Pelodiscus sinensis: one gene and its partners. The protein of the gene in region 4 interacts with the protein of the main gene of each other region in a pairwise test. Links are inferred from orthologs where the notes say so. Each region holds a gene or a part of one and is shown on either strand. Other genes may lie near its edges.

Evidence for each region.
Region 1: the proteins of ATPAF2 (region 4) and FSBP interact in binary tests that used the Homo sapiens proteins (3 or more experiments, as listed by UniProt). The two-hybrid records come from large-scale screens. The link is inferred for Pelodiscus sinensis from reciprocal best matches to the Homo sapiens genes ATPAF2 and FSBP.
Region 2: the proteins of ATPAF2 (region 4) and LRRFIP2 interact in binary tests that used the Homo sapiens proteins (3 or more experiments, as listed by UniProt). The two-hybrid records come from large-scale screens. The link is inferred for Pelodiscus sinensis from reciprocal best matches to the Homo sapiens genes ATPAF2 and LRRFIP2.
Region 3: the proteins of ATPAF2 (region 4) and PAK5 interact in binary tests that used the Homo sapiens proteins (3 or more experiments, as listed by UniProt). The two-hybrid records come from large-scale screens. The link is inferred for Pelodiscus sinensis from reciprocal best matches to the Homo sapiens genes ATPAF2 and PAK5.

Annotation. Positions count from the first base shown.
Region 1 is NC_134712.1:40,533,075-40,540,468, reverse strand, and holds the start of FSBP (fibrinogen silencer-binding protein), read right to left. Parts: upstream 3,016-7,394; 5' UTR 1,121-3,015; coding exon 750-1,120; intron 1-749. UniProt on the Homo sapiens protein: Transcriptional repressor that down-regulates the expression of the fibrinogen gamma chain. Represses transcription of GSK3B gene promoter via its interaction with APBA1.
Region 2 is NC_134712.1:173,017,389-173,024,843, forward strand, and holds the start of LRRFIP2 (leucine-rich repeat flightless-interacting protein 2), read left to right. Parts: upstream 1-4,446; 5' UTR 4,447-4,596; exon of another isoform or gene 4,597-4,863; intron 4,864-7,455. Other genes in the region: GOLGA4 (golgin subfamily A member 4), read right to left, coding at 3,907-3,990. UniProt on the Homo sapiens protein: May function as activator of the canonical Wnt signaling pathway, in association with DVL3, upstream of CTNNB1/beta-catenin.
Region 3 is NC_134713.1:190,345,282-190,353,021, forward strand, and holds the start of PAK5 (serine/threonine-protein kinase PAK 5), read left to right. Parts: upstream 1-4,737; 5' UTR 4,738-4,857; coding exon 4,858-4,908; intron 4,909-7,740.
Region 4 is NC_134726.1:33,122,723-33,130,210, reverse strand, and holds the start of ATPAF2 (ATP synthase mitochondrial F1 complex assembly factor 2), read right to left. Parts: upstream 3,005-7,488; 5' UTR 2,847-3,004; exon of another isoform or gene 2,795-2,846; intron 2,252-2,794; 5' UTR 2,235-2,251; coding exon 2,105-2,234; intron 2,032-2,104; exon of another isoform or gene 1,815-2,031; coding exon of another isoform or gene 1,730-1,814; intron 1-1,729. Other genes in the region: GID4 (glucose-induced degradation protein 4 homolog), read left to right, coding at 3,209-3,397. UniProt on the Homo sapiens protein: Plays a role in the assembly of the F1 component of the mitochondrial ATP synthase (ATPase).

The DNA of each region.
Region 1 (7,394 bases), on a different chromosome or scaffold from region 4:
GAAAGAAAGAAAGAAAGAAAGAAAGAAAGAAAGAAAGAAAGAACAATCAAATAAAACTTCTAATTCTGTAGTTCCACAATCTCTGTCTATATGTTTACAAACCTCCTAGCATAAAAGACACATATTATTTACAGTTATATAGAAATTTGCTTTGCTCTGGTCTCAGAAAATGTCAGCAAGTGAATGAAAGGTAATCTATAAAAATTTATTTGTACTGTTAAAGGCATTTTACTATATGGAGACTAAAGTGTCTAAGGTCTGGACTGAGTTAAAACATATTCAATATTTGCTTAAAAGAGTAATTTATTATACAGACCATGTATATGAAATAGACTCCTTGGTTTCCTGAACTTTATATGGCACTTATGTAAACTGGTAATAGTTTTATATGCAGCAAGGTAAGTGCAGTATTAAAGTGATGGCTATCCTCCATTTAAAGTATCAGTGATTGAACAATCTGCCTACTAAAAGGTGAGGGAGGGGTTAAGGTTTGAGCTACTATTTTTCTGATTCCCTCTTAACCCTCACCTTCTAGAATATGACACAAGACATTGAAACAGGCTTTGTAACAGCTGAAAATTGCATGCAGTGTTAAGTTACCATGAAACAAAGGAAATAGTATCAAGCTATTGTTTCCAATTATTTTCAGCTCTGTTGTGGGTATTTGCTTTAGGACACTGAGTAAACCTTAGAGAGTAGGTAGGAGGCGCCATAATTTTAATTTAATAACAAAGTAAAATGTATCTCACCTTTGTAAACTGCTCCTGTCTCTTAAACACACACTGGAAATCTGTGGAATCATCTCCACAACTTTCTTGGTTGGCTCAGAAATGCTGCTTTTATAATCTGAATGGGTCTCCTTTTGCTGCAACAGCTCCTGTTTGGCATATTCTTTGAGCCTCTTGTACAGCGTGCGCAGGCCCTGTGCAGTACGAGGAGGGCGATCTACTCCGATGGCATTGTAGTTATCGGCTATGATATCCCAGCATTTGTTTTTTTCCACTATTACTGAATGCTTATTTGTATGTTCTTCAAGAATTTTAACATACGGCTTCACGAGTTTTAGCAAATCAAGCTTTTCAGACAAGGTAAAATTAGAAGATCTGGCCTTTCCAACCATTCTTATCTCTGAATTAAGGAGTCAGTTTTTGAAACCACCATGCAGTCCCTAGCTCTGCTCAGCTCTTTTTCACAAACAGAAAAAGATCAGGCTTAACTAGGCTAGTCTCATTTAGGCCCACGCCTACAAGGGAGGGTTTATTAAAATTCCTTCAGCTTAAGCTGACGCAGGTTCAGGAAATCTGCTTAAGCCAAGCCTGACCTACATAAGGCTTCAAACTGAAGACGACAGAAAGAAACAAGCAAAATACACTTTAGTATGAAGAGACCAGACATGCACAGGATTTAAAAACAGAAAGGTTTAAAGATAAGCATGTTGTCCAGCTGAAAATAACACAATTTAGTTTGAGTAACAAGCTCTCACACAGATCTCTAGCTGAAAAACTGAAACTGCTCTGAGATTTTAAATGTAATAACGTCAAAAAAGCAACAAATGTTTTGTGTAATTTATTGATTGTTGAAATAAATCACAACAGCAGAAGGAGAAATAAAAACTAGAGAGATAAGTGTGGCGTGTGTAGAGATCCCTAACAGAGCCCCTGATCACTGTTTCCCAGCTGCTGTTAGCTCTTACAGCATTTGCATAATGCTAGTCCTGCTGTCAATCAGGAATTGCATATCCTCTAGCTAGTTAGGTTACACTCAGACTTCACAGTAAAGCTAAGCTTCTCCTGCATTCTGCCGTCTGCTTTAGCTACCTACACACGGGCATTTTAAAGCAGTCTCTGTTAATCATAAAACATGTATCTAGAGTCAAAACAAAAGAAAGATATACACATGAAAAATGAATTGTTCTTTAGCTTCTGCCTGCAGCTGTGCCCTGCTAGAACATGCCTGTGCTGTAATGTGTATGTCATCAACATTCAGTCTGCAGTGCCTAAAAAATGGCATGATCTAACTCCCAGCCTGCATGTAATAAAGGTTACATTCAATCATGACAGATTTACTGAGTGTATTACAGTGTGTGGATACTGGGATTTTCATATTATCCACAAGGAAACAATCTACTTTTATGGTAACACATTCAAGCATTCTTTCAGTGTCAAATATTTTTATTAAGAAGATGTGCATGCTGTACCAGTATAATTCTACATAATGAATGTTTTTCAAAGATACCTCACTTTAAACAGTCTTATTTAAAAATACATGTACGAGGTTTTAAACATCCATGGTCTAAATTAAATCAATAAAATTAAAAAAAACCTCAGGAACTTAAAAAGCTAAGAAAAATAATAGTTCCACTTAAAAGGGGATGTTTGTAGGGTGTCTATTGTGTACATTTTTAAGCACCAAATATGAAAAAAGAGGTCCGTGATGGAAAAGTCAAGAGATTCAAAAAACAAATTTGATTAGAAGAGTTAGTGGTAACAGCTTTTCAAGCTTAACATGTTTATCCTTGAAAAACATAGGCTAGGATGGGGGTGAAAGGAAAGAAATCTAATTATAGTTAAAAGTGTCTAAAGTCAATAAAGACAGATTTAGGTAGGAGTGTGCTCACTCATTTGCCAGGAACTACATTGAAAACAAGTTTAAATAGAGTTTCTTAAAAAAAGATTTTAAGCTCGTTGCAGATAGAACTTAAGAAACAAAACTCTTATCTTGGTAAAAACATTGGTTTTTATGCTTAGCTTGCCCTCTTTTCCCAATACTTTGTTTTTCATCTGTAGTAATGTCTAGTGTGAAAGACTGAGATAGTTTTCTTTCTTTTTCATTTTTCGATCTATGGTTTTTTGTACTCTCCTGTAATAATTGCTATAGGAAAATGGGCATATGTATTTTAAACTGATGCTATGGACAACTGTACATACCACATAGCAAAAGAGGTACTGGAGTGTGACTAGGGATGTAAGCGACTAGTCTACTAGGGTATGTCTACACTACCCCGCTAGTTTGAACTAGCGGGGTAATGTAGGCATACCGCACTTGCAAATGAAGCCCGGGATTTGAATTTCCCGGACTTCATTTGCATAAGCGGGGAGCCGCCATTTTTAAAACCCCGCTGGTTCGAACCCCGTGCAGCGCGGGGTGTATCGGTAGTTCGGAATAGGAATCCTAGTTCGAACTACCTAGTTCGAGCCCCGTGTAGCCGCGCTGCACGGGGTTCGAACCAGCAGGGTTTTAAAAATAGCGGCTCCCTGCTTATGCAAATGAAGCCCGGGAAATTCAAATCCCGGGCTTCATTTGCAAGTGCGGTATGCCTACATTACCCCGCTAGTTCGAACTAGCAGGGTAGTGTAGACATACCCCTACTGAATAAGCAAAAAGCTTATTGGATAGTTGGTCCCCGCCTCCCCCTTGCTTTCTGGCTCCTGGGTGTGACAATTTAATCTAGAATCAATGGTTCTTTCAGGAATTTCAGGGAGTCTGCCAATCAGGACCATAAACTTGCTGGGGCTCACAGCAGAAAGCCAAAATACCACCACATGGTACTGAAATCTAGAGCTCTAAGTCCTGCCACCCTAGGCTGAAACCAAAGCCTGGGCAACTTAGGCTTTAAACTTTTAAGTTTAAAACGCAGCCGTGGTAGCATTTTAAACACGAGTGCTGGGGGAGAGATCTCTCAGCACTCGGTGTGTGGCGGTGCATCGGGGATTCCCCGATCCTGCACCCCGTCTCAAGTAAGATATTGTTCCTTTAGGAAGGAACAATCAGTTCCATACATACAAGATGGGAAGCGACTGTCTAGGAAAGAGCATGGCGGAAAGGGATCTAGGGGTCATACTGGACCACAAGTTGAATATGAGTCAACAGTGTGATGCTGTTGCAAAAAAAGCAAATATGAATCTAGGTTGTATCAACAGGTGTGTTGTAAGCAAAACTCGTGAAGTCATTCTGCCGCTCTACTCTGCACTAGTTAGGCCTCAGCTGGAGTACTGTGTCCAGTTCTGGGCACAACATTTCAAGAAAGATGTGGAGAAATTGGAAAGGGTACAGGGAAGAGCGACAAGAATGATTAAAGGTTTAGAGAACATGACCTATGAAGCCAGGCTTCATGAACTGGGCTTGTTTAGTTTGGAAAAAAGAAGATTAAGGGGGGACATGATTGCGGTTTTCAAATATCTAAAAGGGTGTCACAAGGAGGAAGGCGAAAATTTGTTCCTCTTGGTTTCTGAGGACAGGACAAGGAGTAATGGGCTTAAAGTGCAGCAGGGGAGGTTTAGATTGGACATTAGGGAGGAAAGAGGCACAAGCCCCCAGTGGGGCAGACCAGGGAGGCTCTTAGTGCTCCTCAGGGTGGAAGCTCTCCCGCAGGGCCTCCTGGATACTGACAGCCCCCTGATGGACCTTCCAGATGGCAGCCTGCAGCAAGTGCAGCCAGGCTTGCAGCAACGCGTCCACAAGAGGTACCAGAGTGCCCAAGGGCAGCTCTGGCTCCACGTTGCAGAGTGCTGTGGTGTCTCGAGTGAGGCAACCAGAGCACGCAGAAGCAAAATGCTTTGCTGTGCCTCATCGAGGTAGGCAAGCAAGCAGGGAAACCTGAGAACCGGCTGTCCGGGTTGGGGGGGGGGTCCCTTTAAGCACAGGCCTCAGATACCCTCAAGCAGCAGGCACACAAAGTAACTCCTGACCTGATGCCCTGCTGGACCTGGTTCCGTTTGGCCTTAAATGTGATTCAGCATCCACTCAGTGTGGACGCGCTATTTCGAAATGTATTTTGTGTGTAGATATGTTATTTTGAAATAACTTATTTCGAATTAACTATTTTGAAATAACACTGTAGTGAAGACATACCCCAAGTGTATGTGTGTCTGGCCCTGAATGAGAGGGCCATCAATTCTGAATGACTACGGGGAAAATGAATTTGATAAAATGAGCAATAAGGCAAAAAACTGATTCTCCCAGTCTGTCTCCAAAAGCGGCTAGGACTTTAGCCACCTGAGTAGGACTCTGAAGTCATGAATGAATTACTTTACAGAAGGGACAGAAAGTTTAGTTGAGGTCAAAATCTACTCCACTCCCTCTCTCACTCACTGACCACTGCCCTACACTTAAATACATGGACTATGTCCTGAGGACTACAAGAAGGCATAAGGGCATATAAGTTTTTGTTATTTCACCTAAAGATCTGTAACTCTTGTATGCTTTGAGAATGAATGTTACTTGGTTTTAGAAAATAATGCACAAAGTTTGTGTTCCTTATTTTACCTGTCAAATGGTCACCAAAGAGTTAAGCTATAGGCCAGAGTATCCAAAATGGATTTGATCTCAGAGAAGCGTCAGCAACTGGAGAGGTTTAGGAAGTTCAGCACAGGTCTTGAGGACTAGGGCAGGTGGACTGTGTGATCTCAAGTCCCTATAAAAGGTTTCCAGCAAGGATCTGCACCTAGAAGTTATTCTTATAAGCCCAGATCTAAAGATCATAACAGGATCTACCCACAGCCCACATCCCACCATGGGATCCAAAGGCTGAGTTCAATTATGACAGACTGGTGCCCATACATAAGGGGAAATCAGTCAGGTCTATACAATCTTAATTAAAGTGCCTGGAGCCTTTCAATTTCCCTTTAATGAGACATATCCTAAGGCTTCATTTGATGTAGGGATATTAGCTTATAGGCAGTTAAACAATTAACCGATCAGAGTGAGGTTATCAGTAAATCCTAACAACTACATGCACTCATCTCCCCGCTTGCTGCTTCTGTATCAGAGGCAACAAACTTCCTGCATCAGAGGCAGCAAGGCTGAAGGAGGAGGCGGGAGCTGGTGCCCATGGGGAGCTGGCTTTTAAGTTGGCTCCCTGAGCGTGCTGGTTCCCAATGAGCTACTTGTCTAACTGCCTCCCACAGAAGCAGCAGCACAGGTGGCAGGCAGGAGCTGGTATATGCAGGAAGCTAGCATTTCAAGCTGGCTTTCCACACATATCAGCTCCTGCAGAGCTGCCTCTCCCCTTTTGCTGCCTTGCACAAAGGCAGTGGGGAGTGGGGAGGAGGGAGCCAGTGCTTGGCGTGCGGGGGGAGAGCTGGCTTAAAAGCTGGCTTTCCACAAGCAAGAGCTCCACAAAGCTGCCTTCCTCCACCTGAGCTGCTGCCTCTGTAGCAGCAGCAGCAGGGCGTAGAAGGGGAGGACAGGCGGGATGCTGGAGAAGCCTCTGCCATGGGAAACTCGGCCCCCAATGAACAGGGGCTGCTGCCTCTCTCTGCAGTGGGCCTGGGTTTGCTGCAGACAGAGGCTGCTCTGTAAGATGCCAAAGCAGCCTCTGTCCACAGGGAGCTTTGGCCCCTCACAGACAAGGGCTGCTGCCTCCCCGCACTGCTGCCTCTGTATGATTTTTAAACTGGCTCCTCTCAGGGACCAGCTCCGTCAGCCACCCCACACAGCTACCTCTGATACAGAGGCAGAAGCCAGGATGGCAAGGGGTTTCCTGGGAGCGGGACCAGGAGCTGGGAACACACTGGGTGCTGGCCCAGAGCCTGGGGGGGAGGGGAAGGGTATTTTAATAACTGTGTAACTGCTAAAATTGTTGTGGCTATATGATTACTAAAATAAATAATAGCTAACATCCCTAATTTGATAACCCTAATCTCTTCCCAAAACTTTCTATCTACAACTCCAATCTTCCCACAGTTTTTTTATTATCTTGTAACTATGATGGGATGTCTCTCCCGCACTGTCCCTTAAAGGGTAAAAACCAGCCCTAGGAATGGGCTGGAAGAGCAAAGCCCTACAGCTGAGGGAGGTACTACAGGATTTGTAAACACTGTCTTGTGATGAGGACAGCATACCACCTGAGTTTCACATTCCAAGTCAATAGCCTGGAAGACCAAGTGCCCAAGATTCTATTTTCACTGACTGAAAGAATATGTGATTCACTTACTGAAGTCTTGCCATAGACCAAATCAGAATGAGAAAAAGTAGCAGAACTATGAGAACCAACCATACTTGTAAGAACGGCCAAAAAACTCTTCCTAACAGAAGGGATTTTATATGGGAAGGTTTAGAGGAGAGATGTGGTTTGGGACAGTTAGTGAATCTTTAGACAAAGACACACATTATAAGGAATCCACAATGAGATGGGCCACAAAGAAGCAGAAAAAATGTTAGAATTGGCTACAAGTTGATTTTATTGCCCTCAAATTAAATGAGTGGTGGAGAGAAAATATTAGAGCTGCAAGTATAGTCTCAGAAGGAATGCTATTGTAGAGAAGTCTGCCAATCTTCTGAACATTAAAGCATCTGTTCCAAAGAAAACAGAGGCAGAGCTGCTGGAAGAGACTCAAGTAAACAGGCGATCTCAACAGAAGGTAGCAAATGCAGATATGCAGACTGAGGAAATG
Region 2 (7,455 bases), on a different chromosome or scaffold from region 4:
ATACTATACCTTTTCATATAAGTCATTTGCTTTCATTGCCCAAACTGTACGATACGTAAAAAGTTAGCAGATTAGTCGACTCCACTCTTGTCCAGTCAAATTTCACTCTCATTTTCACACAGTAGTGCAATTTTGGAGTTGTTGGTACTTCAGGAGAATGTTTAAAACTAAACATACCTGTTTTCATTGTGGAATTGGAGAGGTTTAAATCATTTCATAAGATTTCTGACAGATCATATAACTAACAGTATGGTGGAATAAATAAAAGAGTTATTTAACATAAACTGTTTGATTCAGTTTCACAAAGTTTTCCAAATGATATTTCAGGAGTCAAATAAAGCTATACTATACACTATGCTAGTGAAAACACCACTACCACAGTCAGGCACAAATTTAACCATGACATTGATTCATACTAAATCCTTTTTCCTCAACACACACTGACTGTCACAAACTAAACAGGATACAATTTTTAGTATGATTAGGAATGTAAAATAGTGGTTAAGTGGTTAAATAAAATGTTTAACTGGTTAAACCATTATCCTGTGGGCTGGGCTGTGGGGATGCTGCTCCAGCCAGGCTGGGCCCGCCACACCATGGGCTGCTTCAGCCAAACCAGGCAAAACCCATCAAACCATAGGCTGATGCCTGCTCTGTCTGGACCAGAGCAGCCCCGAGTCACAACATAGTATGGTGGACCCAGTTGGGCTGGAGCAGTCCCTGTTATCCATGTTTTATAATCTGCAACAGAAATACAATAAATGTCCACAGATTCCAAGCAGTCTATATATAGAAATTAAAGTAGTCTATGAATATTTTAAAATGTTAGTAATATTAACAGAAACTTAAATAATCAAGAAGTACAAGTTCCTAAGATTAAGTAACCAAATCTGAAGTACAGGTGCTTTTGTGTGTTCTTAATTTCTTTAAAGTTAAAAGCACCATGGGAGAAGACAGATTTCCAGCGGGGAAAAAATACACGAAGACAGAAAAATAACTAGACCCACAAAACTGAAGTTCAAGATTTGGTAAAGCGTGATGAGACTGATTTTTAAATAGTTAATGATTCCTTCATTTATCAAATACTGTTCAACATTAAGGGTGTGTCTAGACTACAGAGTTTTGTTGACAAAACTATACCTGCGTCTACACTACCGCTGAGTTCTGTCGACATAATGTCGACAGAACTCAGCAGTTTTGTCGATGCTGGTAAACCTCATTTTACGAGGCATAACGCCTTTTGTCGACAGAGTTCTGTCGACAGAAGGTGTTATTGCATCTAGGGTTGTGTCTAGACTACATGGTTTTGTCGACAAAGCAGCTTGCTTTGTCGACAGAACTGAATGTAGTCTAGACGCTCTTTGTCGACAAAAGCTTTGTCGACAAAACTTCTGTAGACAAAAGCCTGTAGTCTAGACGTACCCTTAGATGCAGTCATACAAAAATAATTTTCTCTACAATGCAGATGCCATTAACAGCTTATGTTGAAGTTTAATCACCTCTAAAGACAGCTATTAGCAGACTATACTATATAGCAGTAGTCACAAACTCAATTTACCTTAGGACCAGTATCAGTCCTCATATTCTCCTTGCAGGCGAGTGGTTACCCACTTCTGGCAGGGCTCCAAGGGTCGGGAGGAGTGTCTCCACTCCCTCCTTTTCCCCCCTCTCCCCTTCCCCCGTGCATCTCCCAGCCCCACCTGCTGCCCCAGATGATTTAAAACCTGCTGATGCCCCCTGCCATTACCGACAGTGACATGGGGCTAGAGTGTCTTCCTGCTACTAGCTCCATGCTGTCCCAGTGGCCCAGGGGAGGTTTGTACAGAGCTGTCCCATCCATAGGTGTAAGATGTGAAACTATTAACTCATTTTGATAAACTGACTAGATATCAGTGATGTCAACTCTCCTGATTTTATCTCAAGCCTGCTGATGATTGGGGCTTTTTTTTCCCCACCCTGGAAAGCACATTATGAAAATGAAGCTATATCTGGGAACTTCACTAACTGATGCCTCATGCACCGCTATCAACTATGATCGCTCTGATTTAGTAGATTATGCTTGTTTATTAATACATGGTATTAAAAAACAATCCCAGCTTTCTTTCTTTTTCTTTTCTTTTTGTTTAAGAAAGACTTTTAAGTCTTATGGTTTGTGGAGAAAAGCTACAAAATTTGTCCCAAGTTCAGCCAAAGACCTCAAACACCAGATGCCAAATACAAAGATCCCCAAGTGTATTTTTATCTGTGATTTCAAGAATTAATTCTCTTTTTGGTTGTCTGCAGGGGCCTATTCATGAATTTTGAACTCTTGAATTTAGCAAAACAGTACATGCAAGGTGATTGGGCTCCTGGGCACAAGGGGAGACACTGACAGAAACTAGGATCCTACAAAAGACATAAAAATGAGTCTTCACTCTGACATCTCTGCTCCATGTCCTTCTGCTAACATCTGTACCCTCACACTAGGAATCCCAGCTGCCTCCCTACTGCTAATATCCACATCCTTGCACTGGGATCCCCATCCCCATCCCCACCCAGGGTAACCATAAGCAAAATCCACCAGCCCCACCCTGATGGCTGCAGAAGTGAGTCAGCGTGGCCAGTACAATTTGCATCACAGTGAAGGCCAGGACTATGTGTGTGCGGGGGGCCCGAATGCTGGTGGGAGCCATGTGCAAGGGTGAGCTCCTGTGTGATGCCCACCTCTCCCCACCCAGCAGCCACACAGGTCTGATTAAATAACTTTTTTCAAAGTATTTCACAGGCTAGATTAAGAAAGAACCCAGGCTGCAAATGGCCTCTAGGCTGAGAGTTTGAGACCCATGCTATATAGGATAGCGTGACAAGGAAAACCAATTAAAATGCTGAAATGTAAGCTTTGATGTAAACTAAAATATATTAAATTATTTAAATGCTAAAAATTCAATAGCTTCATCACCCACATTATTCTAGCTAACCTGACAACATACAAGATCTCTTTAGAATGCAGGACAAGAAGGCAGGACAAGAAGTCTACTTCTGAAAACTGAGTTAACATGAAAATCATTGCTGAGCATTCTCTAAAAGACTTGAAGAGCATCACACAATTCAGCATGACTGGCATGCCCTATTTAAGGCTATAACAATGTAGATGTTGTATGTTGGGAACGATGGAGAATGATGGGGGGGATTTTTCACTGTGTCCAAGTAAAGATTTGGTGTTTCACTTTCAATAGCACTAAATTCATTGGGGTTTATTTTTAAAGCACACTGCACATCTTTTCTGTGAAATAACTGATGTGCCTGGGGGTAATTTGCTCACTTTGCAAGAGGAAAACAGAGATTATCTAGAGTTGTTAATATGCTATACAACCCCATATAATCTCTCAGGACTTCCATGGGAGTCCTGCCTGAATAAGAACTACTAGTCTCTGTTTCTGACAGCCACTTTTCACTTTATATGATTTCTCTTTTAATCTAACATACAAGATCGTACCAAGAAGTAGAGATCTAGGTATTGTGTATCCTACATTAAAGCCGAGACAGAGAGAGCAAAGAAAAGTCCCAGAAAGAGTTCCGTCTCCTTGTAGCGCTGCAGAAAGTTGTAACACGTATATTTGAATAACTGTGAGCTTCCAGCCAGGGAATGGAACTACTGATGAAGCTGCGAGGGGAAGAGGAGTAAAAGGAGTAAGCAGTGAGCACGCAGCTCTGGCAGACTCACAGCACGAAGCCGGGGCTGCTCGAGGCCACAGAGAGAAGCTCTGACTGAGGACCCCGCCGTTCTGCCGGAGGCAGGTGACGAGTGACAGCCCCGGACAGCAGTAGCATTATCACAGCGCAGCGAGTGGGGGCCGAGCCCTAAGGCTCTGTCCCATGGTTGCCCCCGAGAGCAGCTATAGATGCGCAGGGGCCCGCGCGAGGTACCTGCGGGTGCGGGGGCGCTCGCCCCCCGGGGCTCCGCGGCTGCGTTTGCTCCTCCACGATTTTCTGCTTCAGTTTCTTGAACATGGCGACGGCAGCCCCCGAGGGTCCCGGGGAGGAGGGGGGAGCCGAGGGGGACACGGGGAGTCGCCCCCACTGCCGATCCCCCCCCTGTGGCTCCGGGGCGGGGCGTCCCTTTCCCTCTCCACTCTCCCGGCGGCCCGGGGCTCACGGGGGGTTGGGAGCCGGGAAACGCTCCCGGAATCAGCCAGCGCCGCAGCGGTTTCCGGGATCCCCCACCCCGGCAGGTGAACAAAGAGCCACTGCGCCTGCGCGGCCAACGTGGAACTGAGACGAGAGGACGCTATGGCGAGTAGCGAGGCTCAAACCGCCGCCAGCCCTGCGAGTGCGATTCCCAGAAGAGACTGGCGGCTGGGCCGGGCCGTGCCCGGCAATGGGCGAAAGGCAGAGGGAGCCGCTGAGCAGCTCAGTCCCCTCTGCCTGGAGCAACGCCCTGCACGTGCCTTTTTAGAGAACGGGTTTACCTGATCCCCTAGGAGACTCTTCACCACGTGAGACTTAATCCGCCTTTTCCGTCTCCAGCTTCTAGGACAATGGGCAGCTCGCCCCGCGGACGCCTCCACCCGCCGCCGCACCACTCACCTTCTCGACAGGCGACCACCACTCCGCCCAGTAGGTTCCTGTTTGTACCGCAAGAACATAGGGGTCCGTCAGTTTTTTGTTGAAAATGAGAAATAGGCAAAGGAAACTGATGCTCTAGAAATAGTTATAAGAGGGGAATCGGGTCCGCGGCACTTGAACATTCCTCTGTTGCCAGTTCAGAGTGTGGCTCATCTTTAGCGCACAAATTTTGGCCACACGTGTGTAGAGTGAGAGAAGGACATTCCCCCAGTTACTCTCTTTCCAGTATATGATGCCTAAATGTCTCGTGCTCTGTGCCTAATTGATACAAGAAACATTTTGTTTCCTGTCAGTCAGCAATAATCAGGTGATGATTCCTAGGGATGATAATTGGTTAACCAGTAAGCATACGTACTGGTGTGCTTAACTGTTAACCTGTCCTTGCAGGTGAACTCAAGCGATGGCCAACCATACTGGGCCATAACAGCCCCAGGTTCAGATGAGCCAGAGAGCTGGGTGGTGGGGCCTCAAATCAAAATAGTTAACCACTGAAATTTATGCACATGATTAAAGCTAAAACTGTGAGGTGTCCCATGTACATTAGTGCAACTACTTATGTGAGTAAAATTTCTGCTCAAATGCATAATGGGATGAGGGCCTTATTCCTTAAGCACTACTCAGGACAAATGTCCATGAAATATTTTGTATCTACTAAAGTTACAAGTGACATCTATAATTAAAATAAAATAACTTAGCAAAACTCCCACCCCTTTTCTTTACAGTTTATTTTACCTATTTGATAGCATTTTGTGTTCGGTTAGTTCCACTGTTTCCCCACATAGTCTATCAATTTCTCTCTCATTGACTCCTATAAACACTTTTAGGAGACAGAAAAAAAGACTTCTTATTTTTAAAAAAGAAATTCCAGGATGTGTGCTGTATGAGAAACTGGACTTTTCAAAATCAGTCAATTTAAACATATTGGCTGTGTCTAGACTGGCAAGTTTTTCCGGAAAATCAGCAGCTTTTGCGGAAAAACTTGCCAGCTGTCTACACTGGCCACTTGAATTTCTGGAAAAGCACTGACAATCTCATGTAAAATAATCAGTGCTTTTCCGGAAAAACTATGCTGCTCCCGTTCGGGCAAAAGTCTTTTTCCGAAAGACTTTTGAGCAAAAGGGCCAGTGTAGCCAGCATAGTGCTGTTTTCCGCAAAAAAGCCCCGATCGTGAAAAAGGCGATCAGGGCTTTTTTGCGGAAAACCGCGTCTAGATTGGCCACGGACGCTTTTCTGCAAAAAGTGCTTTTGCGGAAAAGCATCCTGCCAATCTAGACGCGCTTTTCCGAAAATGCTTTTAACGGAAAACTTTTCCATTAAATCATTTTCGGAAATTCATGCCAGTCTAGACGTAGCCATTCAAGTTGGCATTATCACTTTAAATCAAGAAACAGGTACATTTATTGTTAGAAGTATAGAAGACTGGCCATGCTAGGTCAGGTCATCTAGCCCAATAGTCTGTTTTCAGCAACAGCCAATGCCAGGTGCTTCAGAGGGAATGAATGGAACAGGTAATCAATCATCAAGTGATCCGTCCCCTGTCACCCATTCCCAGTTTCTGGCAAACAGAGGCTAGACACACCTTCCTTAACTGTCTCATCCTTCAGGAGCAAGCCTGGGGCTAGACATGGGCACAGCGGGGAGGCAGGACCCTGGGGGCTCTGGCAGGAGGGGGGATTGTTCCTGGCCCAGCCTGGTTGTTCTGCCAGCTCCTCCTTGGGGGGTGCCCTGTGCGGCCTGCTGGCCCCGAGCTCCCCTGCAGGAGGATCAGGGGGTGGTGGTGGCTCCTGTCTGGGCTCCCCGGGGGCCCCATGGGAAGCAGCTACAGCTCTCTGCTCCGCCACCTGCTGCCAGGCTCCAGATCCCACATCCTCCTGCTCTGGTTACCGGGCCCTACCAGTGGGCAGCTGTGCCTTGGTGGGGGACGGCCACAGAGGGCACTGAGTAAGCTCTGTTGCTCCTCCATGCCCATACTTCCCATCCTGCTGCTTCCAGCCCCACTTCTGCTTCCGGCTCTCGGGCCCTGCCGTTCTGTGACCCAGTGGGAAACCACCACTGCCACCTGTCCTGGGACAGCGGCGTGGCCTAAGACAGGTGGTGGCGGTTCCCTGCTGGGTTATGGAGCCATGGGGCCCAGTAGCCAAAAGCAGAAGCAGAGCTGGAGGCAGCTGGATGGGAAGAGGTAGGGATGGAGGAGCCAGCAGAGCTCACTGAGCACCCAGTGGCCGCTGCCTGCCCCAGCCAGTGGCCTGAAGGCCCTGCGCCCATCCTGGTCACATTGCCTGAGGGCCCTGCATTCAACCTGTGGCCCCTGCAGCTGCCCCAGAATCCCCATGACAGGATGAGTATAGCGGCCAAATGGAGGAGGGTGGCAAGCATAGCAAGTAGGTGGCACAGTCCCTTAGTATCTTTTATTGGACCAACTTCTGAAATTGAGAGAGACAAGCTTTTGAGCTACACAGATCTCTTCTTTAGGTCTGGGAAACAAATATCACAGCCACGTTAATCAGCCACTTCACCTTGAATGGTCCCTTGAAACGTGTGAAATATTTACCTTTTCTAGCTTATTTAACTGTGACATGCTGATTATTTTTCCAATACCTTTAAAGTTTGTCTCTTATTGGACCAATTTATGTTGGTGAGAAGGACATTACGTAACACACTTAGTCTAATATTCGTGGACATGATTATAAGGATGTGTGTTTGTAGGATTGGGACCTAGATGTGCAGATTGATAATTACATTTTAAACGGATATCTGTATATTTTTATTTATTTTTATTTGCTTATAAGATCTGAGTTCCAGATTTAATAATTATCCTACTACTCCTGACACTGCTATCCCTGCCAGCTT
Region 3 (7,740 bases), on a different chromosome or scaffold from region 4:
CCCGCAAAACCTTATTTGCATGAGTAATCTATACTCCTACAAATAATCCCATTGATTTTTCACTCGGCAAAGATTTATAGGATTGGGTTCAAAGCAATGCTCTCTGTAAGCTATGCTTTTGTGCGGCTGCTCAGGAGACATTCAAATGCCGCCCAGCTGATTAGCAGAGTGCCCACACCTAGGTTTTGTGGTTTTATTTTGTTGGCCCTGTGGTGCACGTTTACACAAAATTTATTCTATATGTGGATGGAAAAAATCGTCCCATGGATGGGAAAATATGAGGGGGAACTTTAGTCCATAGGTTTGTAGCTCACAAAGGGTAATGTCAGTGACTGATTCATTTGTATCTTTGCTGATATTCAGAATTTTCACTCCATTTTAAAGGTGTTCTTGACAAACGGCAAAGGTACTCTGGTATTTTTTCCACTGCATGATTGATTTTAAGCAAGTGGGGAAAACAACTTTGACACTGATAAAGCTCGTTATGTTTTACCTCTTGTCCATTTACCCACATCCAGGGCTGCCCTTACCATGAGGTGAATTGAGGCAGCCACCTCAGGTGCCCGATTGGGAGGAGGGGGCGGGGTGCCACTAGGACCCAGAAAGAAGAAAATTGTGTTTGCTGTTGTCCTAAGTGAGGGGAATGGGGGTGTCATTTGAGCTCCCCGCCTCAGGTGCCAAAATGTTGTGGGCCAGCCTTGCCTGCATCTTAACTTAGTTATTTCCTAGCTATGGGTTTAATATAAATCTGGATAAAAGCTGAGTTATCAGAACTGGGGTGGGAATTTATGCCTATTGCAAGGATTTTGCCCATGAGAGTAACTGGATCAACACGTATGGTACGTTGATCATGTGTGTCATGTGGCGTGATCCTTTGTCTGACTACAAGTATCTGAAACGCCAGAGAAAAAACAGCTTGGGCTTGAGAAAGGAGCAGTTGTGGTTGCTGAAGGGCAATCCCCTTTCTTCCTAATAAAACCACACAAAATTTCCCCTGGGAGCTACCAAAGTTTACGGGCTCCCAATTTCAAGGGATCTATGGGGAAAACAAGAGCATACTCGGATTCCTCAAAGGATGGCTTAAGCCAATGACTCCATGACTCCAAACATCTAAGTTCTTGAGCATTGTTTATGGCCCTCCCCAAACAAGTGCCTAGAACCTCATCCAGCATAGGATAGTGCTGCCAGGATCCTGCTATGCTCATATTGTCCTCTGCACGGGGACTTACAGGGGCATTGTATAAACTCACTCTTGTGATTCCAGGGTACTTGCAATTATTTTAAAGGGAGACAATAGAACTGGAGACTTTGTGGCCAAAGGGGAGGAAAAACAAATAGGAGGAGATTTAAGGGAGAAGAGAACTTTTCATTTGTGCTTCAGCACCATCCAGAACAGTTTCAGAGGGGGAAGCATGTTAGGCTGTTGTAGCAAAAACAAGGAGTCCTGTGGCACCTTTTAAAGACTAACAGATTTATTTGACCACGAGTTTTCATGGACCAAAGCCCATTTTGTCAGACGCATAAAGTGGAATCTTCAGTTTGGCAGGGATATACGGCTACATGCAAAGTTGGGAATAGGTCACATCCACCCATGGCCTTGTTAGCATCGGGTCTTCACATAGTAATAGAGACTGTTTTAGCAAAAACCTCTGCATGTATCTGTAAATCCCTGCCAAACTGAAGATTCCACTTCATGCATCTGACAAGGTGAGCTTCAGCCTATGCTCAAATAAATTTGTCCGTCTGTAAGGTGTCTCAGGACTCTTTGTTCTGGATAAAAAAGATACAATACAGGCCTTTTCTCCAGAGTCTTAGGGTCGTCAAAATAGTGAAATACAGTGAAAACTTTTTTTTTTTTTTTAGCAATCACAAATCCCTGTTGTCTTCCTGCCTCTGCAATCAAGAGTGGTTTTTTTTTGTTTGTTGGCTTTTCTCCTAAAAAAAGAGAATTGTATCTCTTGAATGGCTTTGTTTTATGAAAAACAGTACTGCTGGTGAATCAAATGTTTCCTGTTTATCAGTACACATCAACCCGAGTATTATTTGCATGCACAGAGCACTATTATACTGTTTGATTTACGCAACATTGTTCTCTGAAATTGCTGATGCTGTGCTAAATTTCCTTGCTTTTTCAAGTGATGGAATAATAAGAAGGAACTCTGTGGTGCAGGGGGAGGAGGAAGGAGGAGAACGAGTTCCAGAGCGAAACTAACCAAGCCCTGTTATATGCAGCTTTGGAATTCTCACTGTCTCTGAACTCAGAACCGATTCCAATAGGTCTCTACGTCTCCTGCTTGCCACATGCGAAGGGCTGCCTTCTCCGGGGGGAACAGCATGTCCCACCTTCTCCCCTCTGTTCTCCTTACTCTTCCCCCAAGAAAAACCGCACATGCACACAGGAGCGTAGCTGTTGGCTTTGTGTAATTAGGAATTTCCCAGTTCTGCCCTACCCTCATCCCCCCCACCATTAGTCACTTGTTCCACTTCCATTTCCTGTGCCTATGGGTGCTAAGGTTGGTGAGATTTGTTCTTCATTTTTTCCACTCACGTGTAGATGTTTCAAATCTCAAACAGGTAGCTTCAGACAATCCTCTCTTACTTGTAAACAGCCTAGCAGAAGAATGTCCCCTATTTTCCCTCCTCAAAGTGACACCCAGAGCCGTAGTCCTGGGTTGAACAACCCCAAGTTCTACTGAAGGTACAATACATCACAACCCTACAGAGCCATAAACAAGCTTCAAACCACTAGGAAAAAACAGGTTGCCAGCTTCCTAAGGGAATTCATGTCCTCTAGCCTTGAAGAGGCCTGAAATACTGACCTTAAATGTATCTATTTTTAGGTGGAAGGGGGAGCTATTTTAGTTCACCTTCAGCACTTCTCTGTGAGCGTTGCACAGAGGATCGTTCTAAGTGAGTAGTCTGGCTTTACAGGCGAGCTCTGACAAAGAGTCCCAATAACTGTTTGTAAAAATACATAAAATAATGAGACTAGTTCTTCTGTGACCTGCTGGCATAGTGAGAACAGTGCAGTGGTGCTGAGGAGAATTTATCAGCACCAATTTGAAATGCCTTCCATTGAGTAATGCCGTTCTCTTATAGGCACGCTTCCCCATTCTGTTCTAGACCTCTTGTGATGGAACGTCCGGACGTGTATAGAATTACACACACACCCCTCCTGTGTACGTCTTCACCATCAATGTCTTCGTCTACCTCCAGTTTATGATAATTTTAAGTCCACATTTGCAATCAAACAACAGAAAACACCCTTCAAACGACCTTCCATTGTTAAAGTAACCCCTCTCGAAGCACAGACTTGCCTGAGCAGCCTCGCGGCCAGCACCCTGGCTTGCTTGAACAAGGAGATCTGGATTTTTGTTCCCGGCTCAGTCATTCACATGCTACATCACTTCCCCTCTGTGCTGCTCTTTCTCTTTCTTACAAGCATTTCTCCAACCCCACTGCCACACACATCCTTTCTTTTCACTTTGCTCTCACTAACTCTCCAAGACAAGCAGTGCCTCACAAGTTGTACAAGGTATGATTGTACAGGATTCAATTCCCTCTTGGGTCACAGACTATCTCAGTGACCCTGAGAAAGATACAAAACTGTAAGGAACCCCAAGAAATCATTAAATCTAATTCCCTGCACTCCTGGCAGAACCAAGCACCATCTAGGCCATCCCTGACAGGTGTTTAACTGGCTCTTGAAAATCTCCAAGGATGGAGATTCTACAGCCTCCCTGAGCAATTTATTCCAGTGCTTAACCACCACCCTCCTTGTAACACCCTTTGAGGTACTTGAAAGCTGTTACCATGTCCCCTCTCAGTCCTTTCTGTTCCAAACTAAATAAACCCAATTCTTTCAGTCTTTTCTCATAGGTTGTTTTTTTCTAGACCTTTATTCATTTTTGTTGTTCTTCTCTGGACCTTTTCCAGTTTGCCCACATCTTTCCTGAAATGTAGCTCCCAGAACTGGCCATAGAACTCCAGTTAAGGCCTAATCAGGGCAGAGTAGAGCGGAAGAATGACTTCTTACGTCTTGCTTACAATGCTCCTGTTAATACACCTCAGAATGATGTTAATGATTATAAGTAACTTAGCTTATCTAAGACAGTGAAATGCTCATCCATAATGGTGATGGGGGAGGGGTGGGAATTGTTTCTTGATGCCACCTCGGGTGATCAGCTAGCCCCTGAGCATGTGAGTAAGAACCAGCCAGCCCAATATATGAGCATCTTCTCTTGATTGCTCTCAATGCTGCCTTTGAGCACTGACCACCCCATCCAGGGTCCCATCTGCAGTTGAGGCCAGATCTGATGTTTCAGGGGGAGGAGGAAACCCCAGAATTACTGTCTTCTCAGATCTGAACTATATGGTGACTCCCCTGTAGTTCTGGGTCCTAAACATTTTTCAGTCTGGGTCCACTTCAGTTACTTAGCAACATCTGCAATAACTTGGTATTGGTGACTTGGTAAGGAAAAGTTTCTTTAAAAAACTACGTATATGCTTCCCTGAGGAGTCGATGGGACGGTGGTAAAGGTGAAAGAAAGCATGCATTTAACTACATACATGGATGACACTCAGGTTTTTGGGTTTTGTTTGTTTTTAAATCAGGGTCATAGAGCTGCTGACACATCCCTTACAAGTGTAATCTGTGCTTCAGGGAGGCTATTTTGTAGCGTTTGCATAAAACCGATCACATGCTGGGAAAGAAACAGGCACAAACGAAAGGCTCTCAGGATGCACTGTGCAGCTATTGCTGCAGCCTGAATTTCTTCCTTTGGTGGTATCTGAATGGAATACTCTAAATCAAGGGGTACGTGTCAATCTAAACCCTGAGGCCCAGCTATTTAATATATGGCTGTTACAGAGGCAGCTACTAGCCCAGAGCTAGAGGCCAGTCAAGAGGTAAGTGAAGCTTTTGACTTCTAGTACTATCCTTCCCTCCCTCATGTGTGTGGGGGGTGGATGAGCGGGGGTTTCCATTTGACAGCGTTACTATTCTATTTGTTCACGTTCTTATACTGCACTCATCACTTAGACATCCGCAGTTTTTCCCAGTCTGGCACTCTTGTCATGGGCAAGCGTGTTTTGGGGCCTTCCTTTGAACACATACTGACAGAGTTGGGTCTGAATTCCTTCAAGACAGAAGTCCATCAAAGATTATTCATCTTGGCTGGAGATTTGAGGCAAAAGGGCCAGTAGTTCCCATTAAAAATATGAAGAACGCAATGTCTCTGAAGTGCACCATTTCCTCCCCACCAAAAAACAAAATAAGGACGCTCAAATGATATGGAGAGGATTTTACCTGCCTTCACAGACTGCTTTACAGCAGTCCAAATTCTTAGGCTTGTCAGAATTCGATTTTTCTTGAGGGGTTTGTCATTCATGTTTGATTTTTAGAATATTTTCCAATTATAGAATTAAATGTTCAGAATCATGGAAGGGAAGTCAGACAATTATTATATTTTTTTTACTATCAGTAAAATCATTTTCCTTCATTAGTGTACATTTGAGAAATGTTTATTTCACCAATAAAAATCAAATCCTTCCAAGCCTAGATATGGTCAGACCAAAAGGCCCGAGAGTACCTCCCTCTAGACATTCTCTGAAAAACTGAAATTGAGCCAAGTCAAGGATTCCCAGAAGGGAATACTGGTAGCTCAGTCAACCATATAGATGTCTCCATGGGATGTACTGTCCCTTTGACAGTTTCCCTGAAAGTTTCAAAGCTATATTAACTGGATTTGGTTGTTCAATAGCTATTTGTGGCATTTATAAATCAGTTTTCCTGGTAGCCATCTCATCTGTTCAAAGCTAAAAGCTTTGTCTTGACAACTCCACTGTTTTTTGTGTGTGTGTGTTTTGGTTTGTTTGTTTGTTTTGTGTGTGTTGGTTTTTTTGTTTGTTTTGTTTGTTTTGTTTTGCATGCCCAGAATGCCCCTTTTGTATCCTTCCAGAAAGATCCAATTGTACTGTTGAGGTAAAACATGACATTCCAAAAGACAGAAAAAATATTAGGCACAGCAAGATGTCTTGTAACTGACTTGGCTGACTGAATGCTTCTTCTGAGATGCCATTCAAGGTGAATAAATGGGTCTCCCTATGAATTTTATCGATAGTCTTTGTTTTAAGGTTTAATTGAGGTACTCTGGGATGTAGACACCTCTCCATTGGATTGGAAAAGTTGCTTTGTATACGTCACTGAATAAACATCAGATGGTGAGAGTTTTCAATGGCTAGTGATTTTAGTAGGACAGTTGTCAGAGACATAAATGTTATTTCCCATTACTAACATCCATTCTAGGTCTTGTTAGCTGTGCATCATGCCATGTTACTTGATGGTGCAGTTTTTTTGATGGCTACGGAAGCCACCTAGAAAGAACTATCACTGCAACAGGGCGAAAGATCTGGTTTTCTGCAAAAACCTCACTGTCTTCAAAACTCACATCAATACCAGCCAGTTAAATCTGGGATGAATAAGACCCATCCGTTCAGAGTAGTGATGAAATAATCCAAAATGTGGTGACTCCTCTCGTTTGCACCTAAAACATTTGGATTCAAGGGTACTGTGGCGGGGTAGCCCCGCCCCTCCCGAAAGCCGCCGGCACGCCGCGGAAAGGGGGGGAGGACTCACCCCCCGGGACGGCACAGCCCGCCGCCCGCGGCTTCAGCGCAGGGAAGCCGGCGCACCGGCCGGGGAACGAGCCGGGGCGGGCGGGGCCGAGAGGAGCCGCCGGGACGCCGCAAGCATAGCAGGGGGGCTCACCCCCCGGAGCGGCACAGACCGCCGAGCAGGGGCGAGAACGGGGGGGCCGGCACCCCGGCCGCGTGACGAGCCGGGGCCGGCAGATAGCGCCGGAAGAGGACGGGGGCGGGGTGACGTCAGGGTGACGTCACATGACGCCCGGCCCGGGGAGGGGCCGCAGGCAGATGAAGGCACGGACGTCATCTGCCTGCGACCGGCGGGCCATTCAAAAGCGGCCGGGAGCCAGGCAAGCGGGGGAGAGGCCGAGGAGACGCTTCCCCCGCAAGGACCAGAGAGTGTAAGCTGGTGTTGGAGGCCCTGGGTGGGGGCCGAGGGAGCACCCAGGTGAACCGATTGGTTCCGGGGGAAGAAGTGGCCCAGGGCAGGGACGTGGACCCTGAGAGCAGGGGAGTTTAGGGGTCTCGACCCCCCCTGCTAGATGGGGAGTCTTTCCCTGACCTTAGGGCCCTGGGCTGGGGTCCAGAGCGAGGGTGGGCCCGGACCCCCTTCCCCCAACCGCCGTGGGGCACGCACAGAGTGAGTCGCGTGGAGTGGCAGACGACTTTTGGTAACTGAGGGGGCGGACTCAAGCCCCTCTGGGGGTCAATCCCCTACACGTGGTGGAGAATGTGGGTACGACAGGCCCCGAAACGGGGGTCTGGATGGGGTAAGAGAAATTAACGAGGTGTCGATTAGCAGGACACGATGGAAGCAAACAAGATCTTGGAATGGTGGACGGAGACTCAGAAAGTGCAGCAGCAGCAACAAATGCAAGCGCTACAACAGCTCCTCAACCAGTTCCAGGAACGGCAGGAGCAAATGGCGCGAGGGACACCGGTGACGGTACCCGGGGCAGCTGGAGGGCCCGGAGGGGGAGAGGGGGTCGGCACCCAACTACCTATACGCCTCACGAAATTGGGGCCGGACGACGACCCAGAGGCATTTTTGGTGACGTTCGAGAGGGTGGCCACCGCTGCGAAATGGCCACCAGA
Region 4 (7,488 bases):
CACCTCAGCTAGTAGAGGCCCACTCTCAAGTGGCCTGTAGGCACTACTGTAATAAACATGACCAATGATAATATTAAACAGATGTGAGGCCCCAGAGAACAGGACAGGCCTGGAATACATGCTGGTGCAATCCCTACCAGCAAGCCCCTCTTTGCCAGGCTGAATATTAAACTAGCCCTGCATCAGCCCAGCTCTTCAGCCACTACCTTGGAAACAAAAGTAATGTGACCTGTCGAGCATTGCTCAGCTGGCCATGGCTTTTCCACCCGCTGGAGAAGCAGCAACTCTAATCAGCAGGTACTATCGGTCCCATGTAGTTAAGGCAGGTCACCAATATCCAGCCAGCTTTTAAAACAGCTCCCTCTGGTGCGATTTCAGGCGGAAGCTGATGATATACCTGAATCTAGAATAGCCCCTAAATTACAGTGCCAAGCTAGCCTGTCACACTGCCCTGAACGCCCTCTGGCTGGATCCAGGAGCATTGCACGCAACACACTGTAAACCCATGTCCTGAGTGAGTTCACGTAGATGCCAGGTAGACCACAGCATACAATTTAATATATTGAGGGTCTACCTCCCGTTATGCTGCACCCACTATGTCAAGGAGAATGTCTGGTGCAATAAATAGCAAGTCTACCTTTAGGGCTACAGGTCATAGTTTTAGAAGCAATTTACATTTGGCATCTGCACTGTTGCAAGGCACAGCCATTAGACTTCTAAATGGCATGAACAGCACCTGCTAACTTCCTGACAGCATCCACATGTAACACAGTTAGATCCCTGCACTGACAGACAGCCCACCCTGCACAAAAACCACAGGCAACATAAATGAATTCAAAGGACTTCTAGGGCCTGTACTATGCAGGAGGCCCGACTAGCTGATCACAATGGTTCTTTCTGGCTTTGGAATGTAGGAATGAATTAACACGTGAAGACAGGCTCTCTGAGGGCATGCAGAGCAACAGCTGATAAATTCCAAACTGAAAGCTATAGGCTGGCCCTGTGGATCCAGTTCCCAGAGTCTGTGTTAACACAGAGACCCGGCCATTTAGACAGACACCTGGTCCCATTTCCCACACAAAACACAGAGAACACAAAACCTCTCCAAATCTTTGCCTTGGCAGTACAACATAGGTGTATGTACATAATCTCTAGAGTTAACAACTGTTACTGGACTGCAGCTCCATTTCTACATCTACTGTGCACACAGGGCCCCTGGGTTTCCAGAGTCCCAGTTAAGGCAGACTGCCTAGAAACAAGACAGTTGCAGGATCAAGGGACTTAAAGAATGCCATATTTTAAGGCTATTCAAGCATGCGCCCACAGCCTTGATCCTGCAACAAGACACCCTCACCCCCTCAAGTCCTGATTTAATGGGGCTCCAGGATGTGCATTTCATTGCAAGTTCAGAGTCTTAGTTTGTGAGAAACAAAGGATCAAATTTCACCATCCTCATACAAACAATTGAAATCACAGAGGAAAGATGTTGAAAGCACCACTTTACGACTAAGGAAGGATGGACTGGGGTGAAGGGACTCAGGAGACCTAGGTTTCATTTGCTGCTCTGCCACAGACTTTGTGTGTGACCTCCAGTTTTCTGTCCTTCCGCATCTCCTGTATAAAGTGGGAAATCACAGCACTGCTTAGCCCTACAAGGGGGCTGTGAGAAGGAGTAGATTAAAGAACTTGAGGTACTCAGCTGCCATGGTGATTGAGCTCATAACAGTACCTAAAATAGAACTGCAGGTACTCAGTGAGGCTGTATGCAGGCAGAGCAGCAGGCTCACATGCTGGCAGCAGGAGGCGTGAGGCATTAGATTTTGAGCTCACTGGGCCAGCGATGTCATTTTCTTTTGCCTCTGCACATAATAAATGTTTGTTGTTGGGCTTGATGTTTCAGATGTTCAGTTGGGGCCCATTCCACAAACCAGAGCTCTCCTCTGTAAATGGGGGACGGGGCATCACATCCCTCTCATAAACTGTGGTCACAGCTGGCTTTTACAACTAGTCAATTCCACCACTGAAAAACATCCCTGCAATTGGAAATAACCATGCTGAAATTTGCCGAGCATGCAGCAGGACTGCTGTCCAGCGTTGTCCTCACCTGTTGGTGGCGTGTATGCCCGTACCATGCACGGCAGCCAAAGACTGGGGCCCCCAACAGGAAGTGTTGGGCACAGCCATGGAGCCTGAGGCAGCCCGGCGTAGAACAGCCGCTGGCAACTGCGCCACATTCTGGGGAGACCGTGAGCTACAGCAAGATGGGAACGGCCTGGACTTGTTACATACAGGTGCGCCTAACACCTTGGGATGGCCTACCAGCATCTAGCCCCCCCCCCCCAAGAGCTCCCTGCCGGGATCACGGCCCCCCCCCCAAGAGCCCCCTGCCAGGATCACGCCCCCCCCCCAAGAGCCCCCTGCCGGGATCACGGCCCCTCCCCCAAAAGTTCCCTGCCGGGATCACGCCCCCCCCCCAAGAGCCCCCTGCCGGGATCACGGCCCCTCCCCCCCCCAAGAGCCCCCTGCCGGGATCACGGCCCCTCCCCCCCCCAAGAGCCCCCTGCCGGGATCACGGCCCCTCCCCCCCCCAAGAGCCCCCTGCCGGGATCACGGCCCCTCCCCCCCCAAGAGCCCCCTGCCGGGATCACGCCCCCCCCCAGAGCCCCCTGCCGGGATCACGCCCCCCCCCCCCAAGAGCCCCCTGCCGGGATCACGCCCCCCCCCAGAGCCCCCTGCCGGTACAAATAGGACCGGGAGGGGAAGGACAGACCCCCGCGGAGCCCACTGTACAGACCCGGGCCCCACTCCCTACGGGGCCGCACGGACGCGACTTGCGAGCCACCTGCCTCCACCTCACCGCCGCGGCCCGGTTACCCAGCCACTCTGCCTCTGGGCGCCGCCATCTTGCTCGCCCAGCGTCCAATCAGCATCACAAACGCTTTTTGTCCCTCCGAGGGCCCTGTCACAAGGCCCTCACAGAAACAACGATTCCCAGGAGCCAGCGCGGCCCCCACGTGACGCCCATCGCCCAATGGGAACGGCGCCCCGCCCGACGCGACGCCCGCTGGGCCAATCAGAGCGCGCGGAGGCGTCGCCGGGAGGCCCTGAGGTAGGCGGCGGGGGCAGCCGGCGAGCGCCCGGGTCAGCAAGGCGGCCGGGCCGGCTCCCTGCAGCCCGTGACACGCTGGCGCCCGGGGACCCCCCCGAGATGCCGGTGCGGAGCGAGTGCTGCTGCCCGGGGGGAGCGCGGGGCCGCGGGGCCGCCAGCCTGGTGCCGCCGCCCCCCATCAACACGGCGCAGCCCGGGGTCGCCACCTCCCTGCTCTACAGCGGGGCCAAGTTCCGCGGCCAGCAGCGCAGCAAGGGCAACGCCTACGAGGTGGAGGTGGTGATGCAGGTGCGGCCCCCCCCCGGCATCCCCCGTGTCCCCCAGCGCCCCCTCGGGCGGGACCCCCACAGCCCCTCCCGGCGCCCCCCCAACATCTCTCCCCTCTCGGGATCCCCCCCAGAGACCTCCCCAAAGCGCCCCTCCCCCCGACACCCCTCTCGAGCCCCCCCTCCTGCTTCCCTTTCTGGGGCCCCCCCAGAGACCTCCCCAAAGCGCCCCTCCCCCCGACACCCCTCTCGAGCCCCCCCCTCCTGCTTCCCTTTCTGGGGCCCCCCCAGAGACCTCCCCAAAGCGCCCCTCCCCCCGACACCCCTCTCGAGCCACCCCCTCCTGCTTCCCTTTCTGGGCCCCCCCAGAGACCTCCCCAAAGCGCCCCTCCCCCCCGACACCCCTCGAGCCACCCCCTCCTGCTTCCCTTTCTGGGGCCCCCCCAGAGACCTCCCCAAAGGGCCCCTCCCCCCCGACACCCCTCGAGCCACCCCCTCCTGCTTCCCTTTCTGGGCCCCCCCCAGAGACCTCCCCAAAGCGCCCCTCCCCCCGACACCCCTCTCGAGCCACCCCCTCCTGCTTCCCTTTCTGGGGCCCCCCCAGAGACCTCCCCAAAGCGCCCCTCCCCCCCGACACTCCTCGAGCCCCCCCCTCCTGCTTCCCTTTCTGGGGCCCCCCCAGAGACCTCCCCAAAGCGCCCCTCCCCCCCGACACCCCTCGAGCCACCCCCTCCTGCTTCCCTTTCTGGGGTCCCCCCAGAGACCTCCCCAAAGGGCCCCTCCCTCCCCAGGGCATCCCCTCCAGTCCCAAGATGCCGCCTTCTGCAGTTCTCCCACCAGGGATTCCTACCCCCCTCCCCCAGCATCTCTCCTCCTTGGGGCATCTCCCCTGAGCGTCCCTCGTCTTGAGGGAACCCTTCCACCACCACCCTGTAGCCCTTCCTGGGGCTCTCCTATGAGTGATCCATCCCCAAGTGTCTCTCCCTTTAGAGGAATCCACCTGAGCGCTTCTCTCTGCTGTGAGGCACCCTCCCCCCCCAGTGCTCCCCTGCACCTCTCCTGGGGTCCTCCCCCAGGGACACCCCCTAGAGTGCCGTCATTTGGGGACTTCCTAGTTTGTCCCTGTCTGCTGCTGGGGTCTTCCTAGTGGGACTTCCCTCGAGAGCATCCTCTGCTGCTCTCCCAGCAGCCTCCTCCTAGAGCACCTCTAGCATCTTCCCTCTCACTCTACCCTAGACTGTCTCCCAGGGACCTCCTGAGCAGCACCTACCCCCCCCCCCCGCCCGCCGATTCCCCCAGTACCCCATGTCTCATCTTTTAGGGTCCTTTCTCTTGAGATCCCCCTATTCTCCTAGAGCACCTCTTGGGGATTCTTCTGTTCACTTCCTGCCCCACTGCGGCCTTCTTTGGAGGACCTCTGACCAGCAGAGCATGGACTTCTGTGCAACCCAGGCACTCACAGGCCCCCTGAGAACTCTCCTCCAATGACTACTCCATAGAGATTTCTTTCCCTAATTCCCCCATTTCACAGAGATCAAGAACCAACATCGGTACATGCAATATTTTATTTTAAAGCATCTTTCTTTCTCAGATTGGGTCCTTGGTCCCTGAGATGTCCACAAGGACTGCCTTCCTTTATGTATCCATGTTGACCCCATAACATCCCCTCATGTGATTTCTCCATTCCTAAGGCACCCCTTCCCTCAAATTGGGACCTACTGCTCCTAAGACCTTTGTTTTGGGTCCCCCACTTCTAGGGAACTTCATCTTCAGAGATCAGGTGGGGACCCCAGACCAAATAGCACAGGCTGGGTCTGTGAGGTGGCTGTCCAGGGGAGGTTAGGGACCCTTCCTACCCAGGGAAGGCCTTCATGACTCCAGATGTACCCTGGCCCAGCAGCACTTGCGAGGGGCAGGTGATGTGGGTGGATCCCCTTCCCCAGAACACCCTTTGCCCCCAATTTGGATCTGAAACTCAAGAGTAGCTGTATAACAGAGAAAAACAATCTCTGATCTGGGCAAGGTAGGTGACACCTTTCTAGGGACCCATCAGGCCTACAGCCCAAATTGCCCCTTCCTGGAGCAGTGGGAGTAGAACAGAGTAAGTGAATGAAACTAGCTTGAGTCTTCTTCCCACAGCTGCAGTTGAGGAAGAAAAGCAGCTGGGACTGGCTGAGTGGGTAGTTGCATGGCAAGCCAGGCTACATCAAGAGGGCTGGGGAGGAAACTACTGCATCACATGCTTGTCATCTGGGTGTAAGCTGTTCTCCAGCCATCATAGACACTGCCAAGCTGTGCACAGAAATTCAAATGACGCCCCCGGTGATTAGCAGAGTCCCACAGCTAGGCTTTTTGTTTCTACTGGTGGTGCACATCTGCACATCCCTCTGTGCACGTATAAATGTATTCCGCACATGGTTGGAAAAGATTAGAGGAAACGTTGATCATAGGTGTTTTGGCCCTGGGGGCTTGCATGGGGATTTCAGCCTTTCAGCCCTGAGATTAACAATCCCTGCATGTCTTGTCTCTGTCTTGGAAGTGTTTGGCTCTCACCGTGACAAGGGGACAATGGCCGTGCCTACTGGCATGTCAGCAGCACAGCTTCAAGGCTGCAGATGTGTCATTGTGGTATAGTGTAATCCCTTCTTACTGCAACAGGGCTTTTTCTGTTGTGGTAGTTAATCCTGCTCTGTGGTCTGTGGTAGCTAAGGCCAGGTCTGCCCAGCTGTGTTGCTCAAAGTATGAAAGATCCACATCCCTTAGAGATATAGATAAGTTGCCTGAACCCAGTATTCTTCCATCGACCAAGCTACTGCGGCTCAGGGAGGTGGAACCTCCCATCTCTGTAGGGAATGTTTACACTGAAGCAGTGTCTTTATACCACTGTAGTGGTTGAAGAGTAGAGATAACCTAAGTGGACAGACACCTCAGTCTAAATGCTTCTACACTGGGAACTAGGTCATCTTAAATGCAGTGATCCAGTGCAAATCTTTCACTCCCCTCAGTCATATAGCTAGGTTGATAAATTGTAAGTGTGGACCAGGCCTTAGAGCAGGGGTGGGCAATAATTTTGGATGGGGAGGGCACTCCAAGATTTTGTTACGGGATTAAGGGCTGCATTTCTATAGAGACGGTGTGGTGTCTGGGGTAGAGGCTGGGTGAAGAAGGGATCTCAGGGGAAGAGTGTGGGGTGCAAGAGAGGGGTCTGAGAGAGAGTTTGGATGAAGGAGGGGGTTGTGACTTGGGGCAGGAGATTAGGGTTCAGGGTCCCAGAGGAGGTAGAGTGCAGGAAAGGATTTTGGCCTGGTAGAGGGGTGTAGGAGGGATTGCAGGGTCTGGGAGGGAGTTGTGACTGGGGCGGGGGGAGGTAGGGTTTGCAGAGGGTCTAGGTGGTGACCTGGGGCAGGGATTAGGGGGTGGGAGTACCAGAGGCAGGCTCTGTTGAGGAGGTGCTTACCTTAGGTGGCTTCTAGCCAGCAGCCCACCAGGGACCCCAAGGCAGCCTATCTGCATGTCGCAGCCCCAGGCTGCTCAGAACAGCTGGCAGCTCCCTCTAGGTGCCGCACACTCCGGCAAGGTGGATGGGGACTTCACATGCTGCCTCCACCCCCATCCAATTATCACAGCTCTCATTGGTTGGTTTCTGGCCATTGGGAGCTGTGGTGATTGGCCTGGGGTCAAGGGCAGCATGCAAAGTCTCCCCTTCTGTCCCAGCCAGGAGTGCGCAGCACATAGAGGGAACCACCTGCTGTTTTGAGCAGCCTTGGGCTCCAGCAGGCAGGAAGCTGAATCAAAAGGCATAGCGGGCCAAATGTGGCCTGCAGGCATTAAAATGCCCACCCCTGCCTTAGAGCAAACCAAAGCAATCAGTCCCAGAAAGGTATGTAGCAAAAGCAGCTGTTGGGGGCCAGCTGTGCTGCAGCTTTCATTTGAGCTGATCACTTGTCTCTGCAGCCCTCCCATTCCTGTTGAGCGTGATTGTTTCTGGGTGCTTTATTTTTAGTTGTAGGCATTGGCATGATCACTGTGAGCAGAGCTGGCGAGATGTGGGATTGTGTATAAGCAGCAAGCCAGACATCTGATACACTCTCGCTATAAAACATGTGGCATGTT